2 linked regions of the Schizosaccharomyces pombe genome follow. The protein of the gene in region 2 interacts with the protein of the main gene of each other region in a biochemical or structural test. Each region holds a gene or a part of one and is shown on either strand. Other genes may lie near its edges.

What was found. Proteins that work in one complex are often made in the same cells at the same time.
Region 1: the proteins of msp1 (region 2) and cdr1 form a complex in vitro, tested with the Schizosaccharomyces pombe proteins (one study listed by BioGRID).

What each region holds. Positions count from the first base shown.
Region 1 is NC_003424.3:2,677,977-2,685,557, forward strand, and holds cdr1 (serine/threonine protein kinase (NIM1 family) Cdr1/Nim1), read right to left. Parts: upstream 4,432-7,581; 5' UTR 3,571-4,431; coding exon 1,789-3,570; 3' UTR 1,492-1,788; downstream 1-1,491. Other genes in the region: pct1 (RNA 5'-triphosphatase), read left to right, coding at 1-129; dut1 (deoxyuridine 5'-triphosphate nucleotidohydrolase), read right to left, coding at 651-1,073. UniProt on the Schizosaccharomyces pombe protein: This protein, a dose-dependent mitotic inducer, appears to function as a negative regulator of mitosis inhibitor wee1 by phosphorylating and inactivating it.
Region 2 is NC_003423.3:3,476,480-3,483,364, forward strand, and holds msp1 (dynamin family GTPase Msp1), read left to right. Parts: upstream 1-3,216; 5' UTR 3,217-3,418; coding exon 3,419-6,130; 3' UTR 6,131-6,185; downstream 6,186-6,885. Other genes in the region: sct1 (glycerol-3-phosphate O-acyltransferase), read left to right, coding at 1-1,516; TRAPP complex subunit Trs31, read left to right, coding at 2,093-2,301, 2,346-2,530, 2,631-2,755, 2,963-3,073. UniProt on the Schizosaccharomyces pombe protein: Dynamin-related GTPase that is essential for normal mitochondrial morphology by mediating fusion of the mitochondrial inner membranes and maintaining respiratory chain function.

The DNA.
Region 1 (7,581 bases), on a different chromosome or scaffold from region 2:
GAGTTTGGTAACATCGCGGATTTGAGAGATCGTGCTCAAAAGGCCAAAGATGGAATGGAAGCTCCTTTGTTTCGGAGGGTACAGTTGTTTATGGACAATGTTCGTATTTTGAGACGAGAGCATTCTTAATTCTTTACACTTTTGCTACTTATTTGACATTCTTAAGTCATTTCTTAATAATTGTTCCTTGCTTTGCATCAGAATGTAAAGGGGTTTTTAATTACTTTAATTTAATCATCATTTCATACTGGGCAATAATCAAGGTAAAAGAAAGTCACGTTAGGTATAAACCCCCATGCACATATTTTAATTTTCGATTTTGTATCTCGGTGATTCTAAACTGAGGCTTAATCTTGGATGATTCTATTTTTTTTTTTACCTATTACGACGGGTAGTTAGAATTTCTACGTACATTTTCTAAATGTACACCTAAATTAAGGATCAGCTTTGTCTGATAACATCATTCGTTATAATTACTGTATCTTTACGAGAGCAGCTTACAACTCCTATATTCCTTTAATTGCAAAGTTTTCAGTTACTTCACCCAATAAAAATATTTATTGAAGAATTTTCATACCGAATATACAAAATAGCATTATAAAATACAAGTGTCCAAACCTTTGATTGCAGGTTATGTTTTAAAAGCGGCCTCAAACACCGGTACTTCCAAAGCCATTAGCACCGCGGACTGTAGCCTCTAAGCTCTCTACAAGTATGACTGGTGGATTGACAATTCTTTCCAAAATAAGTTGGGCTATCCGGTCTCCGACCTTTATAGGAAAATCAACATCACTGTAATTGAAAAGTAAAACACGAACATGGCCACGATAATCTGCATCAATCACACCGGCGCCAGTGTCAATGCTATGTTTTGAAGCTAATCCGCTTCTTGGAGCAACACGACCATAAGTCCCCTCAGGAACAGCAATTGCCAAATCGGTATCCACTAAAACTTTTCCTCTTCTTGGAACTATACATTCAGCAGCCGCGTACAAATCATATCCAGCAGAATTTGCAGAGCCTTTAGTAGGAATGGTTGCTTTTTCAGAAAGTTTTTGAACGAAAAAACTCATGTTTAAACTATAAAACTGTGTAATTTCACAGACAATAGAATTCTTGATTGGGAATGAGTGTTTGCAATAGATACTGGCGTTGCATATAAATTTGAAGTTACGCGACACGTTGCGGTTGACGGCGCGTCGCGTTTGTTTACATTTAGTCAAGATATACACCGTACAACATACCTAATATATAAACGTAGACAGTGTATAAAAACTTTCTAAAGAGGTAAACGTTTATAGGAATTATTTCTTCATATTTTATTTATTGCGATAACTCTTAAACCTCAATTTTATTACTAAACACTCCGGAATATTCGACAATTTTCAAAAACCAACAGACGTTATTACATAAAAACACCCAAATTTCATATAAAACTAATGTTCACAACAAAATTTTACTTTATACAGACTACTGATTTCTGGAAAGCGATTGTAATAGAAGATATTCATTAGTTACATATATAAACTAGTGTGCCCAAATCATTAACAGATATATAACGTAAAACCCTAAAACCATTAAATTGCTAATAGACTCAAAGGTCCAATTGCCAAAAAAGATCATTAAATTCGTAGAAAGGTACAGGTACACACGACGGGAGATCCAAAAAAAATAATTATCATCCTCATTAAATTATAAACAGATCTTAACATTTGAATAGCCGCCCACAGTATAGACATTAATGGTTGATTTTGAGGAAGAAGACTGTGTTTTTGAAAAAATTCCTATTTAATCCTTCCGAAAGAATGAAGAAATCTTTCGTAATACAGAACCGGAAGAAACTTTTCTGGGAGTATATCTTGCATTAGTAGCATATTGAGAATATCTCCGACTTGGAACTGGAGATGAACATAAAGGAGCAGAAGCAGATCTCACATTAGTTATGTTCGGCTGCATATTACTGATTACAGGAAAAGATATGGGACGTCTATTTTGATTGCCTGATCCTTGAACAAAGCCTCCAACCTGGACATCGTCCAAATTGGTTAGCCCATCTATTGATGGTTCAGGAGTTGAAAGTGAATCAGGAGTGTAGTAGCCACTGGCTGTGCTAGACAGAGTGGTGCTAGGAAAGATGCGGACATAGCCATACCGATTGAATGGTACGGATTCTAATTGCTCAAGGGTAGGAGTGGGGAGAGATTGTAAGTCCAGAGAATCAGTTCTAACATTATCAGTTGAATAAGTATACTCTTCTGGTGGACAAACAAACATATAATTATAGTCATCATCCAAAGTCGATGGGTTTGAAACTACTTCATGACAGGCATAGCTGTCATAATCCTTGTCAGAAGACACCCTGATCGGTATTGGAGATTGAGACATTTGATTTAAGGCTGAAAGCGGACTAGAAACTCTTCTAGCAAGTTCATCTTCAAAATTACTACTTTTGCGAGAGTTTGTCGAAACATTGGATTTTACTAACGATGTTGTTGAAATAGAAGCTTTGGTGAAAAGATTATTGTCGTGAATTAAATCGTAAAGACTGAGATATTTATTTTCATCAAAACGTTGTTTTTTCAACATATCATCGCGCAAAATCTCGGATAAAACTTTATACACATATTTTTCGTCGTTATCATCTCGCTGTTGAAGACGACGAACGACTTTTTTAGAGGATGATTTTTTCCAAAGCACACACATGCAATCAACTACTAATGGATCAATTTCGTCAATTGACAGTGAAGGGGTAGGAGGGGTAGTGCTATCCATAGAGCTCAATGATGTACAGCCCATTAGAAATGGATGAGAAAAAACTTCCGGAATTGTTATACGCGTGCTTGGATTTACATCTAGCATTCTGTGTAACAAATCTTGCGCAGCCGAAGAAATTGAAGAAGGAAGATCATATGCGCCATGGCGAATCTTATTATAAATAACATCTGTGTTTTGACCACCAAAGGGGAGCTTATTCGACAACAATGAATACAAGATGACACCACAAGACCAAACATCAGCAGGAGCTCCACGATATGGTTTGTGAGATACAATTTCGGGAGCCAAATAATGTAAAGAGCCGCAATAATTCTCAAGACAAGAGTCATTTGGTTCAACAGTGGCCATGCCAAAATCAGCTATTTTAATTTGTTGCTCATTTACCTTGATGAGAATATTCTCAAGTTTTAAATCCCGATGGCGAAAGCGAAAGCGATGACAATGCGCTACAGCATCAAGAATTTGGGAAAGATAATGCGCAGCCTCTCTTTCGCTCAAAGGTCCATGTTTGCGTATATAGTGAAAAAGCTCACCATCAGGGACGTACTCGAGTGCTAAGTACATATGCTGATGATCGGTCCAAACATCGTATAGTCGAAGAATATTAGGATGGCGCAACAAACGCATCATTAAGATTTCCATTCCTATGGAGGCATATCGAATAGGGATAATTTTGATGGCAGCCAAATCACCAGTTTTAGCATGCTTGGCAAGACGCACACAGCTAGTGGAACCAGTCCCTAAAGTCTTCCCAAGACGCCATACGCCAATAGTATTTTTGTGTCGCTTCACCATTCAAATCTAACCTTTTATTAAGGGAAAAGGCTTTCCAAAAGTAAAATTGCAGACTGAATAATAGCAACTTCAGAAAATCTGAAATACTTATGATGAAAAGTAGAATAAATGTCGAAAAAGTAGCATGAAATTTGGAATAAGTAAAGGAAAAAGTGAATGACACCACGATACAAAATAGGGTGTGATCACAAAATAGATACTGGAAACGAATTAATAAAATAAGAGTGCCTCATAAATAACCTAAAGCACTTTTCTGAGTGTATTGTAGAACAGAAAAGTGAAACGTGGAACGGAAATAGACGGACCTTGAAAAAAAAATGGGAAGTAGCACAAGAACACAAATAACAAATGTAAGTTACAAGACGTTTTGAGTAACAGCAATAAAAAAAGGTAAAGACAAAGAAAAAGAAACGAAGGGGAGCGTAAAATAAAGAAAGTATGTAAAGTGTATAAGATTCGTGATGTATAAATCCAATAAAGGTTAAGTTAATGATATTCGAATAAGGATTGAACTTTCATAAATTAAAAGAGAGAAGAAACAAGAAAGGAGAAAGTAAAAATGGAAATATTGGGGCGGTCAAATAGTTGAAAAAGGTAGAATAAAATAAACTAACGGATTTTAATTCAAACCCTGTATAATCAGATAAAAATATGGAGAACAGTAAGTAAAACAAAGAAAGATGAATGAATAAATAAATAATATGTAGAACAACCCACTATATAGAAGGCCTACAGATGTTTCAAAATATCGATCTACAATATTAATACAAACAGGATCCCAGCAATTCCTAAAATCGAAAACAATGCTGAGTTCTTATGCAGAGTAGTCCAAAAGACGGAATTGGCCAAGATAAGTTTGGCAGAGGACAACATGAATGCTGGAGGAGCGGATATAAGTGTTCAAGAGTAGGGAAGGGTGGGGCACTACTTGGACTTGATCAGGGAACATATGAAGAGTGTATTGAAGGCTTACGATTATTTCGGCGGATCACGATAGGATGACTTAAGGAACGGAAGCAATCCACTACTTGGTTTCTAGTCCTTGAGGGTGGTAATCTCAGGCTCATAGTGCTGTCTTGATAAAAACTTGAATATTAACAGCTGATTTATAGCTGTAGAGCAAATTTTATTTAGTTTTTCAGTTTCGCTTTATGAAGTTTAATTAATATTCATATTGTAGTAAAATCGAACCGTTAAAGTTGTCTTTTCTTCTCTTATTTACATTTTCGTTAAAAGCAACTTTAGCAGTCTTTTCTGCTTCTTTCACATTTGTTTACGTAGTACTCGTTTTGGCAATCTAGGAGCAAGTTATTGCAATAGATGAATATTTTTTCTTGTTTTACTCGTGTAGTTTTAGCAGGGAATTCCAGTTTTTCATCGAAAAGTAACACGACTTGGTAGCACGGTCAAGAACCCGTTCTACTTCGGGGATAACCAGGGACATGATGCATACCATATCTGATAACACATGCCATTACACTTTTTTTGAAAATTTGAGCAAAAAAAATAATGAAAACAGGTACTTGAAATCTGACAAGTGTTAGAGCCGGCTTCATGCCAAACATTGAAACTTGCTTCAATAATAGATGAAATCTCAGTATATAATGAATGTATTGAACGGGTTACTGAAGTTCATTTCATCATTATAAGCGAATATTGGATGTTTGAAATCGTCTTCATCCTATGGTATGAATAACAACGACTGTCGTGAAAAGTTGATGAAAGACTATAGGCCCCGCTTAAGAAATTACGATATTATAAAGAATCTATAATTTTCTACAATTTAATTGAAATTTTTATATTTGGAGGCGAAAACTTATTCTTTTTCAGCTTGCTCAACTTTATGTGACTTTTTTACATGGTATATCAACATGAACATTCTTACTGCAAATATTTCAACTAAATAAATTCATTAAATTTTTATTAGACAATAAAAATATACTATAGCAACTTGAGAGCTGCAATACGTGTACGCCACAAACAATTGAGAAACAAACAGAAATTGTTTACACAGTTTCGCTGTTTTCAAAATATAACCACGGGTAAGTAATACAGTTGGCATACAACATTTGGGTAACCTACCATAATTATCAATTGAGCGCAAGAATGGCTTGGATACTGACTCAACCCCAGTCTACTGAATCGACGATGTTTGGAAAATCGAATGAAACCAGCAAAACCGATCCTTCACCTTTAACTATCGGTAATCCAAGTTTGATTATCGAGCAAAGATGTGGTTGGTGCTTGGACAGATGGATCTACTTGATTGCTTGATATTTTTCGGTGTCAGTTCGTTACGCTAAAATGACTAAGAAAAATGAACACAGCCTCGATAAACAAATATCATCAGTGCGATCCAACAGCGGTATTTGTCTGAGTTTCTGGTTTACATTCCGAGCCACATGAAAGATAGGCGTTACAGGGCTCGGGAATGCAGCCGAAGCCGTTCAAAGTTGTCAATAAAGAACGTTTGGTAGAAGTGTCCAACAGCAACGAAGTGTTGATGACTTGTTGCCAATGATGAATTTCTTCACTATTGAGTTGGACTTTGGAATGTGAGTGGTCGTACCAACAACTACGGGTATATGGCCTTATTGCAGTGTAAGATTATCTCATTGTCATACAAAGTGGGCAACTTCATACGCAAGGCGTGGGTTTCATGAACACACAAAACGAATCGAGATGATCATCGTTGGATACTCGCTTGATGCAGCTGCTAACGGAGATGCACAAAGCAATCGAACTTTACCATGACATATCCGAAACATGCTAAGATCTTGTTGATGCATTCGTTGACGTTTTTTCAAGATGTTTCGTAATTTCTATACCCCCGGGTGGAGTGGAGCTGCACTTACGAAAGGATAAGTTGAAGGCTGATTTTTCACATCCCTTCTTTGCAAAAGTTTCCAAAGATGAAAAGTGGAGATGCTATTACGCTAGCACAATATTCATCATCATCTGATCTGTTGTATAAAACTTTTTCATTTCATAACTTATGAAGTCAATAATAGTTTTTGAAAATGGGATTTCCTAATTTAGTCAATTTTGTGTTCCACGTTGCACGATGGTTAAAAACGGTAATTTACACTACTGCAACATAAGAAGGACTTGTAAGATATAGACATTAAAAAATAACCTCCCAAGGCGAGACTCGAACTCGCAACCTTCTGATGACCATCATAAGAGTCAGACGCTCTAAACCGATTGAGCCACTCGGGACTTGCTTGTATTGTGTTAAATTATGTACAATTATATAATAAAGTCTTTAAACAATGAAAGGCATTGAAGGTGTTCAGCTTGAATGAATTCTTTTTAGTATGTTCATTGATCTCGAAAGAAAAAAGAAATGAAATGAAAAACTCAAGGTTTGTAAGTATAACTTTTTTGGTTTTGAAAACGCTTGAATATGATGTTGAACATTGATAGCAGGGTAACCAGTATATGTAAATATAAATGCATCTTGAAAAACCTGTATAAGAAGTGCAAGTGGGTTAAAATACATTGATTTGAGTATATAAAGAATTTCTTAATGTTTTGGCAAATTCGAAGACTTTTCCTTTCTTAGCTTTTAACAATGACTATTTCTTTCCTCCCAAGTTCTTTGTTGATGTTTCTTTGTTCGCCAAGAGAATTTTCTTTGTCAAAATCTTTGATCTTTTAAAGAAAGTGTGCATATACATAATCACCAACTCAGTTCAAAATACAATTTGAATTTCATACTAAAGTATGCCCAATGATTTTAAAAGTCATTAGTTTTTTTCCAAAGTACGATCTCTTACGAATACCTGTAAGAAAATTAATATTATACATCAGCCTCGATTTAATTATGTTTTGGATGCAGCTTTAGTTTTTAATTATATTCATCAAGTGCAAAATTGCAAATCACTAACATACTTGCAAGCGTTTTTTCTGCCATGAAGAATCGGGATGTATATGTTCTACATCAATTACTTATCTTAGTGTGAAATGCAAATTTATATGCAGTTATTTTGTTCTGAATATTTATTATAT
Region 2 (6,885 bases):
TTCTCCCGAAGGGTCGTCTTACAAGGTGGCTCCTGAGATTGATCAAACATATGTTTATAATGAAGTCCGTAGACGTCTGGTGAAGGGTGCATGCATTGCTCTATTCCCTGAAGGTGGATCTCACGATCGTCCTGAAATGCTACCGCTTAAAGCTGGCGTTGCAATTATGGCGTTGGAAACTCTTTCTCAGCATCCGGATTGTGGTCTTCAGCTTCTTCCCTGTGGAATGAATTATTTCCACCCCCATCGCTTTCGCTCACGTGCTGTGCTAGAGTTTGGCTCCCCACTGTCTATCCCTACGGAATATGTTGAGCTTTACAAAGCAAAGAAACGTCGCGAAGCTATTCAAGGAGTACTAGATATGATATATGATGCTCTTCTTTCTGTTACTGTTCAGGCGCCGGATTATGAAACTTTAATGGTCATTCAAGCTTGCCGACGTTTATATAAGCCAGCTCATATACAGTTTGCTCTCCCTAAAGTCGTTGATTTAAATAGGAAGTTAATTGTTGGCTATAACCATTTTAAACATGATCCCAGAGTAATTCGTCTCCACGATAAAATCCTTTTGTATAATCGTCAGCTATATCGTTTAGGATTACGTGATCATCAAGTTCAATCGTTACAATACTCAAGATTCATGATTTTGTACAAACTTGTTTATCGGTGTTGCAAACTATTCCTTCTTGCTTTAGGCGCACTTCCTGGTGCCATTTTGTTTTCCCCGGTGTTTATTGCCGCTCATCGGATCAGCGTCAAAAAAGCAGCTGCAGCCCTAAAAGCCTCTTCTGTTAAAATCCAGGGACGTGATATCTTAGCTACTTGGAAGTTGCTGGTTGCACTTGGTATGACACCAATCCTTTATTCTTTTTATGCATTGTTATGTTGCTATTATATATATTCCTATAAGCTCATTCCTCATTCAAGTATATTTGTTTATACTGTCCCAATTATTTCTACCTTTCTTTTTCCAATGGTTACTTACGCAGCCCTAAGGTTTGGTGAAGTCGCTGTGGATATATACAAATCTATTAGACCTTTATTTCTTGCTCTGATACCCTCAAAGGCAAATGCTGTATATATTTTAAAGGATGAAAGAAAGCAATTGGTTGCAGAAGTTACGGACCTGATTAACAAGCTTGGTCCTGAACTATTTCCTGATTTTGATCCTGACCGGATTACTACAACCATTGAGAAACCTGAGCGTCCCTCAAGATTTGCGAGACGTCTTAGCTCATCTGTAGCTTCGGATGTTGATAATCTTTCCCAGCTTCACGACACTGATTTGAATTCGGAAGTATCAGCTCCTGCTCCTCTACAAAATGTCTATTTATATTCACCAAACCCCTCTGCTCTTCCACCTTCGGACGAAGAAGAGAAGGATATAAACGATAAGGCTAAATTAATTCGAAATGCTTTGCGCCAACGAATGGGACAACGTATGACTGAAATCAGATCTCGTGATACTCCACCTGAAGAAGTATTCAGTGAATCTGACGAAGAATTAAGTGACTGAGCAGTCGAAAAGTTTGACCCTAATGAAAATTGATGAAAAATTTTCCCTAAAAGCGTAACCGTTTAAAATGGTTATAAGTACCCTCCTGTGATTGTAAATTTATCTTCCTTCTACTCACGCCAAAAATTATATTGTGTATCTCAGTCGTTAATATGAAATAAATTTCTGTTGGTTTGTTATGTGATTTTTTGAAAAACAATTAAGCAGTATAATTGTTGTTCATAACATCAAATGTATTAATGTATTGGGTAAAACAATTTTATTGAATGTCCTGTTCGACAAATTAGTCAAACGTAACTATTAACTACTATTGAGCATTATTGCATAGAGATTGATTGCACGATTTAGTTACTTTTTTTAATGAATCATTTTATAAAATACTAAATATTTCTAAAAAAATTTGTATCGAGTGACTATTTGAATGATCCCAGCACTTTGTCTTAGAAGGCTAGACGATGTACGGACCCTGCATTAAGTGTAGGTACAAGTGTACTTTATACGAACCACAGCAGTAAACGTTTAAAACGCAACATTTGTATTCCCCGGAACTTTTCTAATTCAGGCTAAAAATATAAAATGCAATCCACTAATAAAGAATTATTCAGAAGCTCAGTCTCTGAATCCCTCAAGTCTACAGCACCCTTAATGGGAAAGAGTGTTTATGAGCAAAATTTGAATAAAATTCGGAATTCCGACGTCAATCTTTCATCGTTTGCATTTATTTTTAGTGAATTAATTCAAAGGATTCAGTCCCAAGTATCAGGAATCCAAGAATTCGAAGAAAAGTAAGCGTCAACATTTCAGACCGAACTGTTTACTAATGCTATAGATTAAACGAACACGGTTATAGAGTTGGTCAAAAATTAGTTGAATTAGTTGTTTGGAGGGAGCGAAATCCCAAACGTGAAACTCGTATATTAGGCATTTTACAATACATTCACTCATCTGTATGGAAATATCTTTTTGGGAAACACGCGGACTCCTTGGAGAAGTCTAAGGAGGCTTCGGATGAATGTATGTTTTCTATTGCTATGCAAATATTCGAACAAGCTATCATACGCGTTCTTGAATTTTTTTATTTATTATTCGTGTTTTTAACTAACTGGAGCTATAGACATGATAGTTGATAACAATCCTCTTCTTAACAAATTTATTTCAGTTCCTAAGGAAATGAATCAGCTAAATTGTTGCGCGTATTTAGCTGGAATCATCGAAGGATTCCTTGACAGTGCCCAATTTGTAAGTTGAAAATGAAGCATATATTTATGAATATACGGCTGCCATGTTGAATCTTGTCCAAGTGCTAATCAAAATGTAACTTTCGCTCGAATACAAATACAATTCTTCAGTTAAATGATAATAACTGCTGAATATACGTTTGTTAAGAGCCTCTGGCTTTTTTGTGCACAGCTTTTGTTATATTAAGACTTCTAGCTAACAATCTAGCCTTGTAAAGCTTCTGCCCACTCGGTGCCTCTTTCGCAATATCCATACCGAACTGTCATTCTCATAAAGCTTGATCCATCAGTAATAGCTAGAGAGGAAGTTTTGGGATAATGAGACTTAACACAAGTGTCATGTATTTCGTTGGAAAGCTTTCTATTGTGAAAATTCGAACATAACACATGAAAGCTTCGTTATTTCTAATTGCCTCAAGCTTTCCTACATAAAGGAAGATTTCGAGTACAATTGCTTTTTTCGTACATTCATATACCTTTAACAATCAAAGTTTTCGAAGTTTTTTTGTTATAAGGGAAATCTTTCAATACTTTAGAGATCCGTAAGATTCGGTCTCTCATTTGAAGAGAGCCTACGGGCTCATATCCTATTGTGTGAATTGTTTGAAGTTTCTTTGTTTTAAAGTCAATCTAATCGTTTTACTTACTCTTTCTTTTTACTGAGATGGGAATTAGCTGGTTTTTGTCACGTTTTAGAATACGAACTGTGGCGCCGTCTAGCTTTCTGAAGCCAAGGGGTTTGGTGTATAGACCATCACAAATTCGTCGCCGTGTTAGTTTGTTATCGTTGTCAGGGTTTCATCCATATCGTGCGTACAGTATATTAGGACCGAAAACTCCTACAGCTTTTAATTCTGCTAATACTGTACGATTTTTTTCCTTTTCCTCTATTTCAAGACTGGTGTTTAGATCCCTTCGTCTCCCAGTTGCAGGGTTCTCTTTGGTTGCTGGAGGTGCTGCATACATTGGTGCTCAAGTTCAAAGAGCAAGCGATTATACGAAAGACATTTTTGATAAAACGTTTGGAATCCTTGACTCTACTTGGGAAAAAACCCGGGAAACTGTAGCAAGCGTTACTAATGTCCAATTACCGGAAATAAGTATGCCCTTGTGGCTTGAAAAAATTCTTCGGTTAGATGAGGAAAGTGCTGAACGGCGTCGTGTATTACAAGCCGAAAGAGCAAAAGAGCATCGCTCTAATTCTAATGACAAGCAAAAAAGTTCAGATAATGATGAAGATCCTAATGATACTACAGTTGGAATCGGAGCCGCGCTTGCAGCCTCTATACTTAGTGTAGATTCAGTTGATGGTGAGGATACTCTTACAGCCGACGAAAAACGAAAATTAGCGCAAGAATCGAAAGAAGATCGCATGATGTTGTTTACGAAAAAAATGATCGAAATCCGAAATATTCTACAAGATATTCAAGATAACAACAGTGCAGTGACTTTGCCAAGCATAGTTGTCATTGGCTCTCAGAGCAGCGGTAAAAGCAGTGTTTTGGAAGCAATCGTTGGGCATGAATTTTTGCCAAAAGGGTCTAATATGGTAACTAGAAGACCTATTGAGCTTACTTTAGTACACTCTGCCGATACCGCTATCCCCTATGGTGAATTCTCTGGTGTTCAACTTGGTAAAATTACCGATTTTTCTAAAATTCAACATATTTTAACAGACTTGAATATGGCAGTTCCTTCGAGCCAAGGAGTGGACGATAATCCAATTCGTTTGACAATCTATGCGTCTCACATACCCAATTTATCTTTAATTGATTTACCCGGTTATATACAAATTCATTCTGAAGATCAACCTGCTGATTTAGACATGAAAATATCTAAATTATGTGAGAAGTATATCAGAGAACCTAACATCATTCTTGCTGTTTGTGCGGCCGACGTTGACCTTGCTAATTCTGCAGCTTTGAGAGCCAGTCGACGTGTTGATCCTTTAGGTTTACGTACAATTGGTGTTGTAACTAAAATGGACTTGGTACCTCCTTCAAAAGCAATTTCGATTTTGCACAATAATAACTATCCTCTACATTATGGTTATATAGGTGTTATTTCTAGAATCGTGCCGACTGGCCGCTTTTCAGCTGGTCAAAATTTAACTGATCTGGTTAGCACACAAGAGAACAGCTATTTTTCTACGCATCAACAATTTGCTGATGCTCGAATTGGAAATTATCTCGGCATCCAAAGTTTAAGGAAATGCCTTATTAATGTTTTGGAATATACCATGTCAAAAAATTTACAGCATACCGCCGATTCAATTCGAACAGAGTTAGAGGAGTGCAACTATCAATATAAAGTGCAGTACAACGATAGAGTTTTAACAGCAGACTCGTATATTGCTGAAGGCCTAGACATTTTCAAAGCTGCTTTCAAGGAATTTACTCAAAAATTTGGTAAAAGCGAAGTTCGTGATTTATTAAAATCTTCTTTAAATGAGAAAGTTATGGACCTACTTGCTGAGCGATATTGGACTGATGATGATATTAGTAACTGGTCTAAGCATACTAATGCTTTGGATGAGCATTGGAAGTACAAACTTGATAGTTGCGTATCAACTTTGACGCGCATGGGTTTGGGAAGAGTTTCTACTTTACTAGTTACTGATTCAATTAGTAAATGTATTGACGAAATTACGAAAGCTAGCCCATTTGCGGATCACCCAGCCGCTATGCAGTACATTATGAATGCTGCTCAAGACATATTGCGACGGAGATTTCACGCCACTTCTGAACAAGTTGAAAACTGTGTTAAACCTTACAAGTATGATGTTGAAGTCAACGACGATGAATGGAAATCTAGTCGAGGTCAAGCTGAAAAATTATTGCAAAGAGAACTTGGTTTATGTCAGTCTGCTTTAGAAAAAATAAAAAATGCTGTTGGATCTAGACGCATGAATCAGGTTTTGCAGTACTTGGAAGAACAAAAAACTTCCAGTGAACCTTTGCCCGCTTCTTACAGCACGGCTTTGCTTGAGCAAGGACGAATGTTACAATATCTAAAAATGCGCGAGGATATTTTAAAATTACGAATTTCTGTTTTAAAATCTAGGGCCTGTAAGCACAAAGAAGCGAAGTACACCTGTCCTGAAATTTTTTTAAATGCCGTTTCTGATAAACTGGTTAATACCGCAGTTTTATTTATTAATATTGAGCTGCTTTCTGAGTTTTATTACCAATTTCCACGTGAACTGGATCAGCGTCTCATCCATTCTTTGAGTTCTGAACAGTTGAATGCATTTGTCAATGAAAATCCTCGTCTCAAGTCACAGCTACAGTTGCAGCATAAGCGGCAATGTTTGGAATTGGCTCTGCAGAAGATCAATTCATTAGTTATCTTGGAACAGCAAGCCGATAGCGATTAAATAACGAGTAAAGTAGTCCGAGTTTAATGAATTTTTTTAACTAACTTTCCAAAAATGCTTGTATGTGTTACTATGTATAGCCTGGTAGTTTTCTCGTGAATAAAATTGTTTGTAAGCAGTACAGAATTGCGTTACAAATTTTTGATGCATATTGCAAATCTATGTTTATGAAAAGTGCACAACATTCAAATAACTACTTAAATTTTTGCAGTAACGTTACTGTTATTCAAATAATACATAGGCTTCGCTCATCAAATCTCCCTGATTGCATAAATCATTTTCGTAATAAGATTGGGTATTTTAAGAAACTCCCTTGATTCGAATTATAACAGTATATTACAGATACCACACAAATCTAATAAAACCCCGATTCATGCGTATCGCATTGCTAGACGAAGTAAACAAGATTCGAATTTAATACTATAAATATATATTGTCCAATCTTCTCATAACTCTTTAAATCGCCATTCTGCAAAAAGCTAAAGGTACATGATTTGCAAAAATAAAAACAGTACCCTGACATATGACAGAGTAACTAACTCATGATCTTCTTTAATTTTTTTCTCTTATAAATTCTATCTTGACCAATAAGGTCATCAAATAAATAAAGAATAAAGTGTGAACATGACTGGCAAACTCAAACCTTGCGATAAAACCATAAATAAAAACAAGGTAAAGGCGATTGCAAAAGAAAAGCTCACATAATGTTACAGAAGAACAATATAAATAATAACCGTATAAGAAAACCAAGGAGG